Ovis aries: one gene and its partners. The protein of the gene in region 1 purifies or fractionates together with the protein of each later gene. This does not show direct contact. Links are inferred from orthologs where the notes say so. Each region holds a gene or a part of one and is shown on either strand. Other genes may lie near its edges. The genes, in order: REL, NFKBIA, TNIP2 and NFKBIB.

Region 1 (4,134 bases):
TCCAATTTAAAAAATAATAATTTTTAAAACTGTAAGTAAAAATAAATTATCTAAATTTGAATACATATTTTACCAAAGACAGTACTATTTATTAGTAAACAAAGCACACAAAAACATTTGCACCTTCTACTGGAATAAGGAGAAGCTTTAAATTCAGACCAAAAAATAGCTAATTTTATTTACCTTAAAACAGATTAGAATCATAAATATACAAGAGTAAGGACTGCTTATGTATACCTTGGATGGGACTGAGAACTTCTTTTTAATGCCTATCCTAATTAACTGTGTCAAAAGAATGGAATCAAGGTGTAATTAAAAAAAAAAAGTAATCAAGACAGCTTGATAGAACTCAAGCTGTGAAATCCTAAATATGACAGTTTAACTGAACAAAATTTAGAATCATACATATAGTCCCAGTTATTCATAGTACTTATATAATTTTATTTATGAGATTATGATGTTACTGTCATATTATACAGACCATATATTCAACTACAGACACCTATTTACATATAACATCCGGTGAGAAATGAAGAAACAGTCTTAAATGCTTGGTAATCAATAAAAATACTTTCTGAGGTTTTTATACTCTGTACTACAAACTATAAACTAGACAATGGTAAACTAAGCAGAAGTTTTTTTCAGTTACTCTTTTGCTTAAATTACTGTTTCAAAACAGGATGGGAGCTTATAATTTTGTGAATCTTTTTCTCTAAGATTTTTACAAATGATTAAGGAAAGTACACCCAGATTTTTCCTTAGTAGTTTTCAAACAACAGAATTACAATTTAAATAACTTGTTACATTTTAAATAGTGTCATTTTAATATAATTCCAGAAAAGGGGAGGGTGATAATTACCCTTTAAAATTTTCCCCCCTCAATTTAGGAAATCAGTCCTCTCACTAAGACAAAAACAAATGTCAGTTTTAAACAAGTTTAAATTGTACCACATTTTTAAATGATGTGGGTCTTACAATAGTCCATATAAATGGCTAATTCTTCTTTCTCTCTTTTGAATGGATTACAAGTGTTACATTCACACCATATATCAACAAAGTTTGGTTAAATTACCAGAAGGCTGATTTTTCTGTTTACTTTATTATGCTAACCATTCTTTAACTTTCATACAAAATCCTTCTGAGAGTCAATAAATTAACCAAGTGTTTCAATCATCTTTGCACTTTTAATCTCAACATGGTCTGAATTTATGAATTTACAAGATTATCTGAAAGTTTAGGGTCACTGAAGTGGCTAAAGAGAAAGTTGAAATATTTTAAACTACATTTGTATTCTCACAGAAAACCACAGACAAACTGAAATCAAATGTCATGTGAACCACCCCAATTTCCTTTTTGGCCTAGAGCAGTAGCTACCTCTTTGTTCTGCTCAACCCTGTTTTTAAAAAAAAAAAGTCCTTTATGCTTTCTACTTCCTCTTCTCTGGTAGTCCTCAGTTTTCTACTGTGGGTCACTGAACCAGGGTGTTGGGAGGATGCAGGTCAAACATAAACAAGCCTCCTTCTTCAGCCTCCTGTTGTCTTCAGCCTCTGCGTTAATCCACACTTTAGGCCTCCTTGCCTCTGCTCACTCTTGCAGGGAAGGTGCCTCCAAGAACCGTGACAGACTCCTGTGAAGGTCCCACTCCAAAGCAGCCTACTTGATTTAGTAACCCTTAGGTTGCAGGCTAACCTAAACCACAGCTGGATGGGGAGGCTCCCTCCCGCATCCTTTAAGCAGTTTCTAGGTAAAGCAAGAGATCCCCGCATTTACTGTCTACAAATAAGTATTCACGTAAGTGACAGAAAGTTTTCATTCTCACCCGTTACTTTAAAGCACGGGGATCCTAAAAATCCTCTTTTCCCCTTCCTTCCAACAAAAGAGAACAAAACTCGATTTCTGCTCCATAAATTAAAAAGTACGCACTTTACAGTAAAAATGATCCACTTGTTGAAGCAACATTTCCACTTAAGACTTGTTAAAATACCACTGGTGATTTTTAAAGGCGCGTCACATTTGTCCAACTGTCAGCACAACTGCGATCACCTCTTGGCAACTGATGAAACTGAACTTAAAAAAAGATAAGCTCTCCTGAGACCGGAAGGTTCCTCATTCCTATTCTAAAACGAAACACCACCATTTCAACTTAAATCAATTTAAAAATACGGGAACTCTTTCGTCCTCCTTTATTTAGATTCTTATTACTTCCTTAATCCAAAAACAAAGTCTTCTGGAAGGTCTAAGGTTCCGGCTATTACAATGGCATCAAGTTACAGAGCGTGACTTCGATTTCGCACGCAAACCCTGAACCAGGTCACTTTTAAAAGGCTGACAAACTTACCAGAGGCGATTTTAAAAACAGAATGAGACATAACCAAAACTGGGCCCCCGAAACCCTGAGTAGTTAGATCCTCGGACGCACTCCTTCGCTCCCCGCTGTCCGGGACCCTGCCCACGCCCGGCCGTCGGTAGCCCGCGCCGGGAACACTCACCTGAGGCCATTGCTCCGCTCACAGCGCCGCCCCGCTCCGAGCGTCCGGACCGGAGGCCGCTACAGTCACTCAGCCCGTCAGTCGGGCCGCCCAGGGACCTCTGCTGGCGGGATCCCCAGTCCCCCTGACCACCCCCGGGCCTCCTCCTCCTCCTCCTTCCCGCCCTCCTCTGGATTTGCGGCTCACACCTTCCCACCCGCTTAATCCTCGCGCTCCGGTCACCCGGCGTCGCTCGTCCAGGTGGCAGAAGCCAGAAGACGGAGCGCAGCTACAGCGGAGAGCAGGTCTGCCTGAGAGGCGGACAGCCCAGCGGGAGGGGGACTTCCAGAGACTGACGTAGGATCCCTCACCTCCGTACCCCGGGGCGGGGGCGGGGGCGGAGGCGGAGCGTCCTGCGACCGGCGCGCGAGCGTCCGCCGACCGCTGCCGGGCCCCGTCCCGCCCATGCCCCGCCCACCCGCCCGTCTCCTGAATGCCGGGTGGGCTCGGGAACCGGTCGGGGAAGCTGCCTCTCCGGGAACGTAGGGAACGCTGGGAGCCGGGGAGTGACGGCCCCGAGCGTGCGAAAGCCGCCGGTCCCCGAGAAATCCCCCTCCTCCAGGATGTTCTTGGGCGCGTGGCTTAAAGTTCAGGAGGGGTGGGAGGGTGCGGTGACGTCGAGAAGGGCCGGCTGCCCTCCCGCGAGCACTTCGGGGCGGGCCCTCCCCTCCCAGGCTAGGGGGAACGACGGTCGGGGTTTTCGTTGGGTGGTTCCCCCTCTTCCCTCTGTCGCACATGCAAATCTCCGCCCCCGGACCGGCGGGCGGCGCAGCGCGGGCGTCCCGGAGCGCCCTCGAGGGGAAGTGCGGAAGCTGCCGCGGCCTCGGTGAGCCTGTAATTCAGGTATTTGCATACGGGGACCCCCGCAGTCTGATATACCTTTGCAACATCTCCTTTGTGAGGACTCTGTTAACGTACTTGACAAACTAAAAAACTTTTCAAGCTAGTAAGGTCCGCAGTGTGAGTTCGTTTCCTCGTTACTCAGTGCTCCAAGTTAATGAAGTGGACACCCCATTGGGATTTGACAGACTCACAAGGAAAGGACGAACGTGTAGCATCAGAATCTAGGATAACTTTTGTTTCCTTCCTGTATAAAGAATTTTGTATGTGTCAGTTTAGTTACCCCCTTTATAATGAATTATTATCCTCATTTTATAGATGAGGCAATCAGGGTTCAGAGAAGTAACTTGCCTGTACATCAGAATGCTAGTAAGAAAGAACAGTTTAAACTCAAGGTTTCGGACTCCAGAACTCCGTGCTCTTTCCACTTTCCTTTACCGTTTAAAATAAGTATGGAGGGGCAATGGGAGCTATCAGCCATACAAGTGCCCAAACTGGAGGCCCCAGTTGGGAAATAATTAAAAATAAACTCTCCTGTCACCACCCCCAACCAAAGCATCCTTTCCACAAAATATAGAAAACAATGAAACAGTTTTATGATTAGCATAAGCCGTAAACCATATTGTGATGCACTTAAGAGACCGCAAAGAGAAAAAGGAAATCTCACTCGTTTATATCATCAGATAGATGCAATCAACTACAATGCCTGTTGTCTTTCTCCCAAGGGAAAATAATCGGAATTACATCTTGGAGCTAAAACTCGAGG
Region 2 (4,271 bases), on another chromosome or scaffold:
TTGGACCAATTCTAGAAATAGATGAATGCATACCTCTCATTGACTAGGAGGTGGGGGGGGCGCAGAGAGCCTAGGTTCTATTTCTGCAGGTGAGAGGAGGGTGGTGAGCCTGGAGTGGCTACCCATATGGCAAGCATGGGTCCCATGCATGTCTCTCCCAGGCAGGAGAGCAAGGAGCCAGCAGAGGCAGGATGAAGGGCACCATGGGCTGCCTTGAGCCTCCTGCACTATGCCTGGCAGCTAATTTCTTAGCCATCCATAAGGCCTCATCTTGGATAAGGCACTACTCTACCCATTCTTCAGCCACCTTCCCCAAATGCTTCTGCAAAGTCACCCAGCAGAGGACCCAGAAGTATGCTCAGGGTCTGTTCCCTGCAGCAGCACAGTGCAGAGCAGGGAACCCGACCTCCATAATTATTTCCTTACTTCAAGGGATTTACAGCCTCTGCTACAAAGACTCATACCTTGCTTTCCTTGAAAAATACCATGGTTGTTTTCACCGTTTTCCTGCATACAGGGCAGAGTGCTTGCCTCTCCTCCAGTCAACAGGATTGATAATCCCAAGGAAATGATTTGACGGTTCCCCAGTGGCAACCCACTCCAGTGTTCTTGCCTGGAGAATCCCAGGGATGGGGCAGCCTGGTGTGCTGTTGTCTCGGGGTCACACTGAGTCGGACACAACTGAAGCGACTTAGCAGCAGCAGTAGCAGCAATCATTTAGGCTTTTAATGCCAAAAGCTTTAGAAACTTCTACCCGGGGGTCGGGCGGTGGGGGTGGGAGTGGAGAGTGGGCTGGGGCTGGCTATTCAGCCGGTGCCTACAATGCTAAGAGCCTGGTACTGGCAGGAAGGCAGAGGCAGCCACCTTCCACCGACCAGTGCGTCCTCCCCGCAGAGAGCTTTGGGGAAGTGAATCCCTACACCCGGCCAACATTTCCACTCGCGTTTTCAAAAGATTTAAAAAAAAACCGGAAAAGACCTGCAGGTCGGTAAACCCCAGTGAAGAACCAGCCTGCAGGCCTGCGTCTTTGGGATCTCAGCAGCTGACGACCCTAAATCAAATCGATCAAATCGGGAAAACCCAGGGAAAGAGAGCTTCTTGCAGAGGGCCAGGATTACTGCGTGCAGGTTGCAGGGAAGTACCCGGGGAGGGGGCCCGGTCAGGAGGACTTTCCAGCCACTCAGCGTTCATCAAAAAGTTCCCTGTACATGACCCCAGTGGCTCATCACAGGGAGTTTCTCTGATGAACTCGGGCGCGGGGTTTAGGCTTCTTTTTCCCCCTAGCAGAGGACGAGGCCAGTTCTCTTTTCTGGTCTGACTGGCTTGGAAATTCCCCGCGCCTGACCCCGCCCCGGAGAAATCCCCTGCCAGCGCTTATAGGGCGCCGCGGCGGCGCTGCCGAGCCCACAACAGTCCTAGCCCGTCGTCCCGCTCGCCCGCGACTCCGAGAGCAGCCAGAGCGCAGCGCAGCCCGCGGCCCGTGCACTGGGGAGCAGCGCCCGAGCCTTCACCGCGCCATGTTCCAGCCTGCCGAGCCCGGCCAAGATTGGGCCATGGAGGGCCCCCGGGACGCGCTCAAGAAGGAGAGGCTGCTGGACGACCGCCACGACAGCGGCCTGGACTCCATGAAGGACGAGGAGTATGAGCAGATGGTGAAGGAGCTGCGAGAGATCCGCCTCGAGCCGCAGGAGGCGCCGCGCGGCGCCGAGCCCTGGAAACAGCAGCTCACCGAGGACGGAGACTCGTAAGTGTCGCGGGCCCGGGTGGCAGGGCCGGGTGGAGGCGCTGGGCCTGCAGCCCCAGGCGCGGGGCCCGCGCAGCGGCCGCGCACCGGGGTTCGTGCACCGACCCCGAGGCTGTGCAAAGGTGCACGGCTGCCTGCGGGGCCGGGGGCCGGGGCGGGGGGGGCGGGTCGGGGGTCGGCGCTGGTTTCCGGGGCCGTGGTCCCGCGGCCCTGCGTTGCAGCCGCGCGCACCCCCCGCACGCACACCCCCGTGCGGGTCCCCTCGGCCGGAGGCGGGGCGGCGGCGGGGACGCGAAGTCCCCGCTTGCATAAGGGGGGGGCGGGAGTTTCTGCCCCGCTGGCGGGCGCCGCGCGGCCGGGAGGGGAAGTACAGGGCGTTCCGGCCGGGCGAGAGGGCGGGGCGGTCTGGCCGGCGCCCGCCGCCGAGCGCGGGGGGGGCGGGGGGCCGGAAAGTCCCTGGGCGCCTGCCAGGAACACTCAGCTCATAATAACCTCGCGGAAAACACCGCGGCCTCGGCCTCCAGAAACCCCGGCCTTGCGCAATCCCCCGCGGGCCGCGCCTCCCCGGGCCCCACGCAGTGCACTCACCAGCCCTGGGGGTTTTCCCTCTCTTCCCCTCAGGTTCCTGCACTTGGCCATCATCCATGAAGAGAAGGCCCTCACCATGGAAGTGGTCCGCCAAGTGAAGGGAGACCTGGCCTTCCTCAACTTCCAGAACAACCTGCAGCAGGTACTGCTCTCCCGCCGCGTACCTCTCTCTCCCGCTCTGACCCCGAGATAAAACCGGGTCTTGCACATGATTTCTAGATTAACAAAGGTTTGGGCATTATCTGCCCTGATTTTTTACACCTGTGTCAGCCAGTATTCTAGAACACAAAATTCCATTGATTTGGGAAGGCCTTTATGAAGCCCATCTGGGGCCTCTGGTATTTTGCTTTGCCCCTGGTATGCGCCTGGGAAAAGCAGCACCCACAACCAAGATATCTCTGGGGTTCAAGGGAACACAGATGGTGGGTTGGATCCATGGCTTATCCTTTCTGTCCCTCTTCTGTTTGTAGACGCCACTCCACTTGGCTGTGATCACTAACCAGCCAGAAATTGCTGAGGCACTTCTGGAAGCTGGCTGTGATCCTGAGCTCCGAGACTTTCGAGGAAATACCCCCCTACACCTTGCCTGTGAGCAGGGCTGCCTGGCCAGTGTGGGAGTCCTGACTCAGCCCCGGGGAACCCAGCAGCTCCACTCCATTCTGCAGGCCACCAACTACAATGGTATGTCTGGCTGTCCTGCCCATCAGAGGGCAGGTGAGGTGGACACGGGGGAGGCAGGCTGACTTAAGGAGGCCAAGCAAGGCCTAAGCTCTCAACATATGAAAGATGGAGAAAACATGTATAAAGGCCTAGTTGATGCCTTTCTAAAGTCCATTCAGAACCCAGATTCTGAGCTCTTCAAATTAAGAATGTATCCTTCAAAAGAATAGGGATATATGTATACCTATGGCTGATCCATGTTGATGTATGGCAGAAACCAATACAATATTGTAATTATCCTTCAATTGAAAATAATAAATGAAGAAAAAAAAAGAATAGGTGAAAGCTTCTGCTTGAGAAATGAGTGTTGAAACAAGTAGTTATAATACTGTCTTACTTTTGGTCTTCTAGGCCACACGTGTCTGCACTTGGCCTCTATTCATGGCTACCTGGGCATCGTGGAGCTGTTGGTGTCCTTGGGCGCTGATGTCAACGCTCAGGTCAGTGCCTCACACCTTCAAATGGGGTACATCAGGCCACCCTGGTCCTCAATACGAGGGCTTTTGCTGCAAGCAGAACTTCCAAACTCAGCCATAAGCATCTTGAATTCCTTATGGTTCCAGGAGCCCTGCAATGGCCGAACTGCCCTCCATCTGGCAGTGGACCTGCAGAATCCCGACCTGGTGTCACTCCTGTTGAAGTGTGGGGCTGATGTCAACAGAGTCACCTACCAGGGCTACTCCCCGTACCAGCTCACGTGGGGCCGCCCCAGCACCCGGATACAGCAGCAGCTGGGCCAGCTGACCCTAGAGAACCTTCAGACACTGCCAGAGAGCGAGGATGAGGAAAGCTATGACACCGAATCAGAGTTCACAGAAGATGAGGTGAGTCCCAATTAACTTGTTCATGGCTTTGCAAAAAGAAAGGAGAGAGGCCATTCTCCCTCCCCCTTCTAAGGCTCCTAGAGTTCCTCCTTATCCTGAGGGTCTCAATGTAATGAGCCTCTCAAGCTTGAGTATGTGTAAGCAGAATCCCAAGAGCATGTCTTTTTTTTTTTTTTTTTTTTGGCTCTTGTTGAAGGAGGATCCTTAAAGGAAAACTCCCTCAGCCCAGGAAATTCATTTACATTCAGTGTATAGAGAATGGGGTCCAGGAATACTTGAGTTATTTCCAGTAACAGCCCACCCCATCATCCTAGCACCCTCGGAAAAGCCCTGCGAGTTTAACATGCCTTTTTTTCTCTTTTTAGCTTCCCTACGATGACTGTGTGCTTGGAGGC
Region 3 (4,068 bases), on another chromosome or scaffold:
TTTCATGCAGACAGACATAATATCAATGGCAAGGATAAGAAAGCAGGAAAGTAAGGATTTAAGTCGGCTTTTAGACACTCCGGCAGCTTCCCACTCTGTCATCACTCCCTGCAGAGCAGAGGTGTTACTACTGAAAGATACATTCACAACTAGGGCTAAAAGAGACCCAGGACATTAGGGTCCACATGGCCCTGAACCCAACACAGCCCCCACACACGAGGAGCCTACAGCCACGCGCTACACACACACCCAGCCCGGTGCCTGCACACACAGCGCAGGACTCCACATGAACACACACACACACACAGAGCCTCTCACGCGCACACACAATCCAGATACAAACAACACCCACACTCATCCCTCAGACCCAACACAGGCACGCACCCCTCAGACCCAACATGGGAGCAGGTCCCTCTGAATTCAGCTGGTACACAACCATCAGAATCAATACCGGCACACGCACAAGCCTCAGAACCATCACAGACAAGACAACCTACAGAATCCAACACACACATACACCTCCCAGAGCCCAAACGAGTGCCCACGCCCCTCAGAACCCAAAACACACACACAGACACACACACCACACAGGACATACACGCTTCAGAAACCAGCAGAGACAAGCACACTCCTCAGACGCATATGGGAATACTCCACCCAGAACCCAGCAAACGCAGACGCCCTTCAGAGCCAGCACGCACAGCCCTCACCCCCAACACAGACAGGCAGACTCCCGAGACAGACACAACACGGACACACAACCCTCAGACCCACCATGAGCACACACCCATCAGACACAACACGGACACACACAACCATCAAAACCCAACATAGGAACAAACCCTTCAGGACAGACTCACAAGCCGCAGACTCCAGGCACACCGCTCAGACACCAGCATGTACAAATACACCTCACAACCAACACAAAGCGGGAAGGAGAGCGGGATGGATTCAGAGCAGCACAGACATCACTGTGTGTAGACAGACAGCCACTGTTTCACGATGGGAAGCTGCTGTATGACACAGCTCCCATTCAACGCTCTGTAACAACCTAGAGAGGGGGATGGGGTGGGGCAGGAGGCAGGGGACATAAGTGTCCCCACGGCTGACTCGCGTGACCTATGGCAGAAGCAATTATCCTCCGATTAAAAATAAACTGTAAACAAGCTAATTAAAAACAATGCAACCACACACTCCTTAGAATTCATATGGGCGCACGTAACCCTCAGACACAACACAGGCACACAGCCCTCACCACAGCCAGGGACCATCACCCTTCAGAACCCACCACGGGCGCAGACACACCCCCAGACTCTGCACAGGCGCACACACACATCTCAGACCCAGTAGGGGTAAACACACCCAGCACCCCAAACCCACACACACACCACTCAGAGCTGCTACAGACACACAGCCTCTAGAATCGATAGGAGCACCAACACCTCTCAGAACGGAGCCCGGGGAGACACAGTCCTCAGCCCCAACATGGGAGCAGATAACGAGCCTGACACACACCCGAGAGCCAGCAGCGACGCAACAACCCTCAGATCTAAGAGGCACACAACCTCTCCGAGCAGAATCCTCCAGAACCCAACACAGAAACACACACTCCTCAAAACCAGCACAGACACACGTACCCTTCAGGACCAAAATGGGCGGATCCCAACAGGGGCAAGCCTCAGAACCACACAGACACACACATCCCTCAGAAGCCAACCAGGGAGCAGACGGCTCAGCACAACCGAACGTACAAACCCTCAGAACCACACAACCCTTAAGAGGAGCGCAGATCCCATAGAGCCCACGCGCCGCGCAAGCACACCACAACATGGGCACACACACTCCTCAGAACCTTCGGGACACACAACCGCCAGACTCAGCAAAGCCACACACACCCCCCAGAAGCCAACGCACACTCACCTGAGAAATGACACGCACACACACACACACACACACAGCACGAAGCACCCAACATGGTCGCAACCACCCCTCAGACCCGACGCTGGGACAGACACGCCCCTCAGGCCCCACAGGGTAACGCCGCACACACACCAACACGCACACAGCCCTCAGACCCACCTCGACATCCATCCCATATCGTCAGAGAGGACAAACCCCTCCCAACCGACAGGGTCACACGGCCCCCAGACTAACTGGCACACACACCTCTCAGAACCTGAGGGAGCGAGACACACTCCTTCAGACGCAGCAAGGCTCAGACGCCTCAAAAGCCAGCACACGCACGCACAGCCCCTGAGCCAAGGCGCACACGCACGGCAGAGCCCGGCTCGACGCTCAGCCCTTACACCCCTCGCGGCGCGCACCGCCCAGAACCCCACACGCAGCGGCTCCGCCGCGGCAGACCACGCACGCCTCACGCCCGACGGGCACACGCGCCCCCGGGAGCCCCCGGGAAGCCCCCGGGAAGCCCGGCCCCGCCGCCCCGCACCTGGCGCAGCGCGGCCTCCGCGGCGCCGCCGTCCCGCTGCCGCAGCTGCTCCCGGAAGCGCGCCACCTGCTCCAGCAGCGCGTCCACGAGCGACGGCGCCGTGTCCCCCTCGAGCGCGGCGAGCCGGGCGCGGAGGCGCGCGATGAGGGCGTCCCGGGCCGCCAGCTGGTCTTGCAGGCGCTTCAGCCGCTGCCCCGCCTCGTGGTACAGGCCGCAAAGCGCGGCAGCCGCGCTCGGGGCGCCCTCCCGCCCCCCGGACTCCGCATCCCCGGACGACATGGCTGCGGACCCGTCCCGGAGGCGCGGACCGCCGGCAACTTCCGTGCCGGGTCTGGGCCGGGGGAGCAGTGGGGCGGCCCACCTTCCCGGAACTTTTCCCGGCGCGCCCCGCCCTCCGCGGAGATCCCGGGCCCGCCCCGCGCCGAGAGGCTGGCCCCGCCCCCCGCGGACAGCGTGCTCCCGCCCCCGCCGAGAGGCTGGCCCCGCCCCCCGCGGACAGCGTGCCCCCGCCCCCGCCGAGAGGCTGGCCCCGCCCCCCGCGGACAGCGTGCTCCCGCCCCCGCCGAGAGGCTGGCCCCGCCCCCCGCAGACGGCGTGCCCCCGCCCTCGCCGAGCCGCAAGACCCCGCCCCCACGGACAGCGTGCCCCCGCCCTCGCCGAGCCGCAAGACCCCGCCCCCACGGAGAGCCTGACCCGCCTCCCGCCGAGCCGGCAGGCCCCGCCCCGCGGGCAGCTGGGTCCCGCCCTCGCCGAGCCGCCAGGCCCCGCCCCCGAGGAGATCTGGACCCTGCCTGCCGCGCGGACCTTGGCCACGCAGGGTCCCCACCCGCCCGGGTCCTGCGGCCGCTCCACCCGCGGTTCCTGGCCTGTCCCAGCAGCCTCATCGGCTCGTGTCGCGGGAGCTTTCAGCGAGTCAGGCGCGGACAAGGAGAGGGGTCAAACGGCCTCTATTTCGCTCCTGACGGAAGGAAAAGAAGTGGCCAGAGAGACGACCCCGAGTGTTAGCCCCGAGCGTGGGCCCGGACCCCTGGGCTGCAGGCCGGCTGCCACGCCGAGCACCGGGAAAAGGGCGGCCTTCCAGGAACTGAGCCCGGCGAGGTACCCAGCCCACCAGCGAGATTCCAGAGCCCGCATCCCCTCTCCGAGGTGTAAGAACTGCTCTTAGGGTAGAAGGCAGGAGGGAGCTGGCCCTTTCCTGCCCTGTTTCTCCATCCGCTCCATCTGCCGGCTCCCAGGCCGACTCCGAGGGTTTTCCCATGGCTCCACGGCTGTTTACTTTTTCAGACTCCGAGTGTCCTCCACTGTAATGCCCAAGCACACCTGTGGTCTTTCGAAGGTTCCCTGGCACACCCTTCTCTGCCCCCGTCCCTGGGTCCCCTGAGAGCAGCGTGGCGTTTTTTCCCCCTCTACATAATCCATACCCGAGCTTGGGCTGAGCCCAGGGAAGACACTCACAAGCTGGTATAATCAGAATTATAAGTGTAGCCAGCTCACACCTCCTCCGCTGCAGAGAGGTCAAGGCTGGCTGCCCCCACCCCTCAGGTGTGTTGTGGAGACTGGGGGACGCAGTACAGGGTGCCTGTGCCCACACGCCCGCAGGCCGCGTGGTTAGGGCTCGG
Region 4 (4,118 bases), on another chromosome or scaffold:
CCATCTCTCTCCTTCCCTCCACCCTTGTCCCCATCTCACCTGAGCCTCCTGCACCTTCCCTGCCTGGGTCTCCTCAGGGTCAGAGGCTGGGGGAGGAGGGGGAGCAGACGTGGTTACAGTGAAGGGATTGGTTAAGGGGGAATGAAGGGCTTCTAAGTCGGGGTAGAGAGGGGCAACAAGACCTCCAACCTAGTTATATGGGGTGGGGGTATCAAAAGGGAGTAGATGGAGGGAGGGAAAGGAAGAAAAGCAGATCTTATTAGAGTGGAGAGTGCTGGGAGGAGAGGTGGTTGGTGAAGGACAAAGAGGCTGGGACATGGAGGCTTAGGAAAGCGAAAAGAAAGTAAAGCATATAAGGGCATGAAGGAAGACTTAGGAGGAGTTAGGAAGGACACAGTAGTGTGTGAGTGTGTGCTGGGAGGGTTAGGTTTACAAGCAGAAGAAAATGTAGAAAGAAAGAGAAGATAAGGGATACTGGGGCTGGAGGCAAGTTTGCAAGAAGAGGTGGTGGGGGCGGAACGGAAGGGCGAGATGGCAGGTTTACAAGAGGAAGGAAGAGATAGGAGGGGACACCAGGGGTCCCCAGCACCCTACAGTTCCCACTAACAACCAGGTACCCTTAGCAACCCGGACAGCGGTATTCTAAGTCCCTAGTAACAAGGGTCCTTAGCAACTAAGGTGCGAGACACACGCTATCATTAGTCACTTAGGGGAAGTGGCAAACGGACCCTTAAAACCTCGAGACCCAGAAACCCACCAATCTATCCAGCAATATATATCACAACGGCTCCCTGAACCTCATTCCCCTCCATGCAGCCCCCATCTCCTGCCCCACCACTCCCGCCCTCGGGCCCCGGGGCCTGCAGCCCTCAGCCAGGCCCCGGCGCGGCCCGACCCTCCCACCAGGGCCCCCGACTCACGATCCGGATCGGCCATGGGCGCGGGGCGGGGGCCCTCGGGACTGTCACCGACTGCTCTATCCCGTGACGGCACCGGAAACAGGAGGGGGGCAGAGATAGGTCAAAGAACTACAACTCCCAGGAGGCATAGAAAAACGTCCGGAGCGTGCCCCTCTGAGGTAAGAAGAGACACGCGAGAGCCGGACTACGAATCCCAGAGTGCCTCGCGTCCGCAGCCATGTTGGTAAAGGGCGCGCGGAATGAGTGGGAAAGGGTAGAGAGTCGCAGTCCATCTGAATACTCTGATTGGTCACGGTGTAGTATGAGGGCGGGGCGCTTACTATTTAGCCGACTCTGATTGGATGAGTCCGGGGGGAGTGTTGGGGAATTCCCAGCAGGGCGGAAGCGCCAGAATTCCAGGCAGAGCCCAGCGACTGGCGGGCAGCCGCTGGGGTCCCCTGAGGCTTTGGGGGCTATGGCCGGGGTCGCGTGTTTGGGGAAAGCTGCGGACGCCGATGAATGGTGCGACAGCGGCCTGGGCTCTCTGGGTCCGGACGCGGCGGCCCCTGGAGGACCTGGGCTAGGCGCGGAGCTGGGCCCGGGGCTGTCGTGGGCGCCCCTCGTTTTCGGCTACGTCACTGAGGATGGCGACACGTGAGTGAACCTTAGCCTGCCACACCGAGCCTTAGGATGATCCCACATCTGATTCCCTGTTAGTCCCTGATACTGATTTTCCAACCTCTTAATCCTAAATCTGTCTTCTAATGCTTACTCTGACCTCTAACCCCCGAGTCTAACCCTTGATAAAATCAATTTCCAAGCTAGTTTTTATCATAACCCCGTCCTTTCTGAAACTTTGGCCCTCAGAGTTTCATATCCATTGACTAATTCCACATTCAAAACTCAATTTGAGCTTCCTGACCCCAGTCCTGAGACCTATCTTAAAACTATAGCTCACAGGCTCCTTCTGACATCTCACCTCCAAATATGATCTTTGATCCTTAGCTCCTAATTTAGGAGCTTTAAATTTTGATTTCCAAAATTAACATTTGGCTTTTGACTCTAAGATCTCCCACTTTCTGAGCACTGATCTTCAAATCCTACATTGAAAGAGAAAATGTAAACTCTATGACAGCAAGGATTCATCTGTTAAACAAGTATTTATCTAGCACCTACAGCGTTTCAGGCCCAGTTGTAGATGCTGGTGATAAAGCAGTGAAGAAAGCACAACAACTTATGCCTTGTGGAGCTTACGTTCTAGTGTGGGGGGTCTATAAATGGAAGGGCAGACAGACTGACAGGAAGGAAGAAAGGAACAGTAGGAGAAACAAAAAAGAAAGAGAGAAGGAAAGAAAGAAACAGAGAGCCGTATAGACACAAAGTAAGAAAGAGAGAGGAGAGAGAGAAGAAACAGGCAGAAAAACGAACGAAAGAAAAATGGTGTGTCAGAAGACAGGAATTTCCTTGGTGAAAAATAAAGCAGGAAAGAATGAGACAAGTAGATTATCTGGGGAGAGTATTCCAGGTAGAAGGAACGACGTCATAAAGACCTAATTGAGGGAATGTACCCGGGGTTTTTGTGTGTTGTGTTTACTGCCGTAGCCCCAGTGACAGAACGGTGTTTGACCCATAGGAGGCGCTCAAGAAACACCGGTCTTCCCAGAGAACCAGCTGTGCTTTCATTTATTTTCTCTCGTCTCTTTTTTTGCTTTCTGTTGTGTTTATCTCTGTTTTGACTTTCGTTATTTACTTTCTTCTGCTTACTTTGAGTTTATTTTTGTTCTTTTTCTAGTTTCTTAAGGTGAAAGCTGAGGTCATTGATTTGAGGCCTTCCTATTTTTCTAATATAGGATTCATGTGAATTTCCCGAAGTAGTGCGTGAGCTGTATCTCATCACTTCTAATGTGCTGTGCTTTCATTTCCACTTAATTCAGTATAGTTTCTAATTTCTCCTTTGATTTCTTCTTTGGGCGGTGGATTATTTAGGAGTATGTTATTTAGTTTCCAGATATTCCGAATACCTTCCTTTTATTGGTTTGTAGTTAAATTCTATTGTGTGTGCAGTTGAAAAGAATGTCTGGTATCTTGTTGTTGAGTGTAGTTCTCCAGATGTCAGTTAGAGGTTGTATGGGTTTCTTTTCTAAAACTTTTATTGATTTACTTTTGGCTGTGCTTCGTCTTTCTTGCTGCCCACGGACTTTCTCTAGTTGCGGTGTGAGGGCCTCTCATTTTGGTGGTTTCTCTTGTTGCGGAGCAGTGTCTCTAGGGCACAGGCGCAGTAGTTGCTTCGCGTTGGTTTAGTTTCCCCGAGGCATGTGGGATCTTCCCGGATTAAAGACTGAGCCTGTGTTCCCTACCTTGGCAGGTGGATTCTTTAGCACTAGACCTGTAAGTCCTGTGCTGGTTTCTTTGGTTCTTCTCTTTTCCAAGTCTATTATATCCTTGCTGGTAATTTCTCTCTACTTGATCTATCAGTTACTGAGAGTAAGGTATTGAAATCTTTAATAATAATTGTGGGTTTCCTTGTTGTTTTATCAGGTTTTCCTTCATGAGACTGGATGCTCTGTTATAAGGAGTGCAAATGTTTAGGTTTATTGTGTCCTCTTCCTGAACTGACCTCTTTATCATTGTGAAATAATCTGCACTATCCCAGGTAATATTCCTTGCTCTGAAATCTTACTCTTATTTTAAAACACTCCTACTTACTTTTGACTGACAGGCGTTAGTATGGTATATCTTTTTCCATCTTTTTATTCTTAACTTAGTTTTAAATTTATTTGAAAAGCTGTTACTTGTATAGTTAGGTTTTGCTTTTTAAAAAAAAATGTTTATTTTTAATTTATTTGGCTGCATCGGCTCTAGTTGCAGCATGTGGGATCTTGTTCCCTGACCAGGGATTGAACCCTGGCCCTCTGCATTGGAAGTGCAACGTCTTAACCACTAAACCATCAGGGAAGACCCTAGGTTTTGCTTTTTTATCCACTCTGACAGCTTCTCCTTTTTTAAAATTTGTGTTTATTTAGCTGTTTCTTTTTGGCTGCACTGGGTCTTGGTTGCTGCACACAGGCTTTGTCTAGTTGTGGCGAGCGGGGTATGCTCTCTAGCTGTGCTGTGCAGGCTTCGCATAGTGGTGGTCTCACTTGTTGGGGAGCACGGGCTCTAGAGCACACAGGCAGTTGTGGCACGTGGCGTTAGTTGCCCCACGGCATGTGGAATCTT

Evidence for each region.
Region 2: the proteins of REL (region 1) and NFKBIA purify together in Homo sapiens (affinity purification with mass spectrometry; 6 studies listed by BioGRID and IntAct, counting the BioPlex papers as one, with this or other methods). This does not show direct contact. The link is inferred for Ovis aries from reciprocal best matches to the Homo sapiens genes REL and NFKBIA.
Region 3: the proteins of REL (region 1) and TNIP2 purify together in Homo sapiens (affinity purification with mass spectrometry; 3 studies listed by BioGRID and IntAct, counting the BioPlex papers as one, with this or other methods). This does not show direct contact. The link is inferred for Ovis aries from reciprocal best matches to the Homo sapiens genes REL and TNIP2.
Region 4: the proteins of REL (region 1) and NFKBIB purify together in Homo sapiens (affinity purification with mass spectrometry; 7 studies listed by BioGRID and IntAct, counting the BioPlex papers as one, with this or other methods). This does not show direct contact. The link is inferred for Ovis aries from reciprocal best matches to the Homo sapiens genes REL and NFKBIB.

The regions. Positions count from the first base shown.
Region 1 is NC_056056.1:63,129,167-63,133,300, forward strand, and holds the start of REL (proto-oncogene c-Rel), read right to left. Parts: upstream 2,816-4,134; 5' UTR 2,500-2,815; coding exon 2,490-2,499; intron 1-2,489. UniProt on the Homo sapiens protein: Proto-oncogene that may play a role in differentiation and lymphopoiesis.
Region 2 is NC_056071.1:43,394,506-43,398,776, reverse strand, and holds the start of NFKBIA (NF-kappa-B inhibitor alpha), read left to right. Parts: upstream 1-1,429; 5' UTR 1,430-1,517; coding exon 1,518-1,744; intron 1,745-2,365; coding exon 2,366-2,474; intron 2,475-2,802; coding exon 2,803-3,013; intron 3,014-3,403; coding exon 3,404-3,492; intron 3,493-3,615; coding exon 3,616-3,876; intron 3,877-4,241; coding exon 4,242-4,271. UniProt on the Homo sapiens protein: Inhibits the activity of dimeric NF-kappa-B/REL complexes by trapping REL (RELA/p65 and NFKB1/p50) dimers in the cytoplasm by masking their nuclear localization signals.
Region 3 is NC_056059.1:116,696,610-116,700,677, reverse strand, and holds the start of TNIP2 (TNFAIP3-interacting protein 2), read right to left. Parts: upstream 2,839-4,068; 5' UTR 2,729-2,838; coding exon 2,450-2,728; intron 1-2,449. UniProt on the Homo sapiens protein: Inhibits NF-kappa-B activation by blocking the interaction of RIPK1 with its downstream effector NEMO/IKBKG.
Region 4 is NC_056067.1:47,982,130-47,986,247, forward strand, and holds the start of NFKBIB (NF-kappa-B inhibitor beta), read left to right. Parts: upstream 1-1,309; 5' UTR 1,310-1,374; coding exon 1,375-1,553; intron 1,554-3,781; exon of another isoform or gene 3,782-3,854; intron 3,855-4,118. Other genes in the region: SIRT2 (NAD-dependent protein deacetylase sirtuin-2), read right to left, coding at 40-86, 921-936. UniProt on the Homo sapiens protein: Inhibits NF-kappa-B by complexing with and trapping it in the cytoplasm.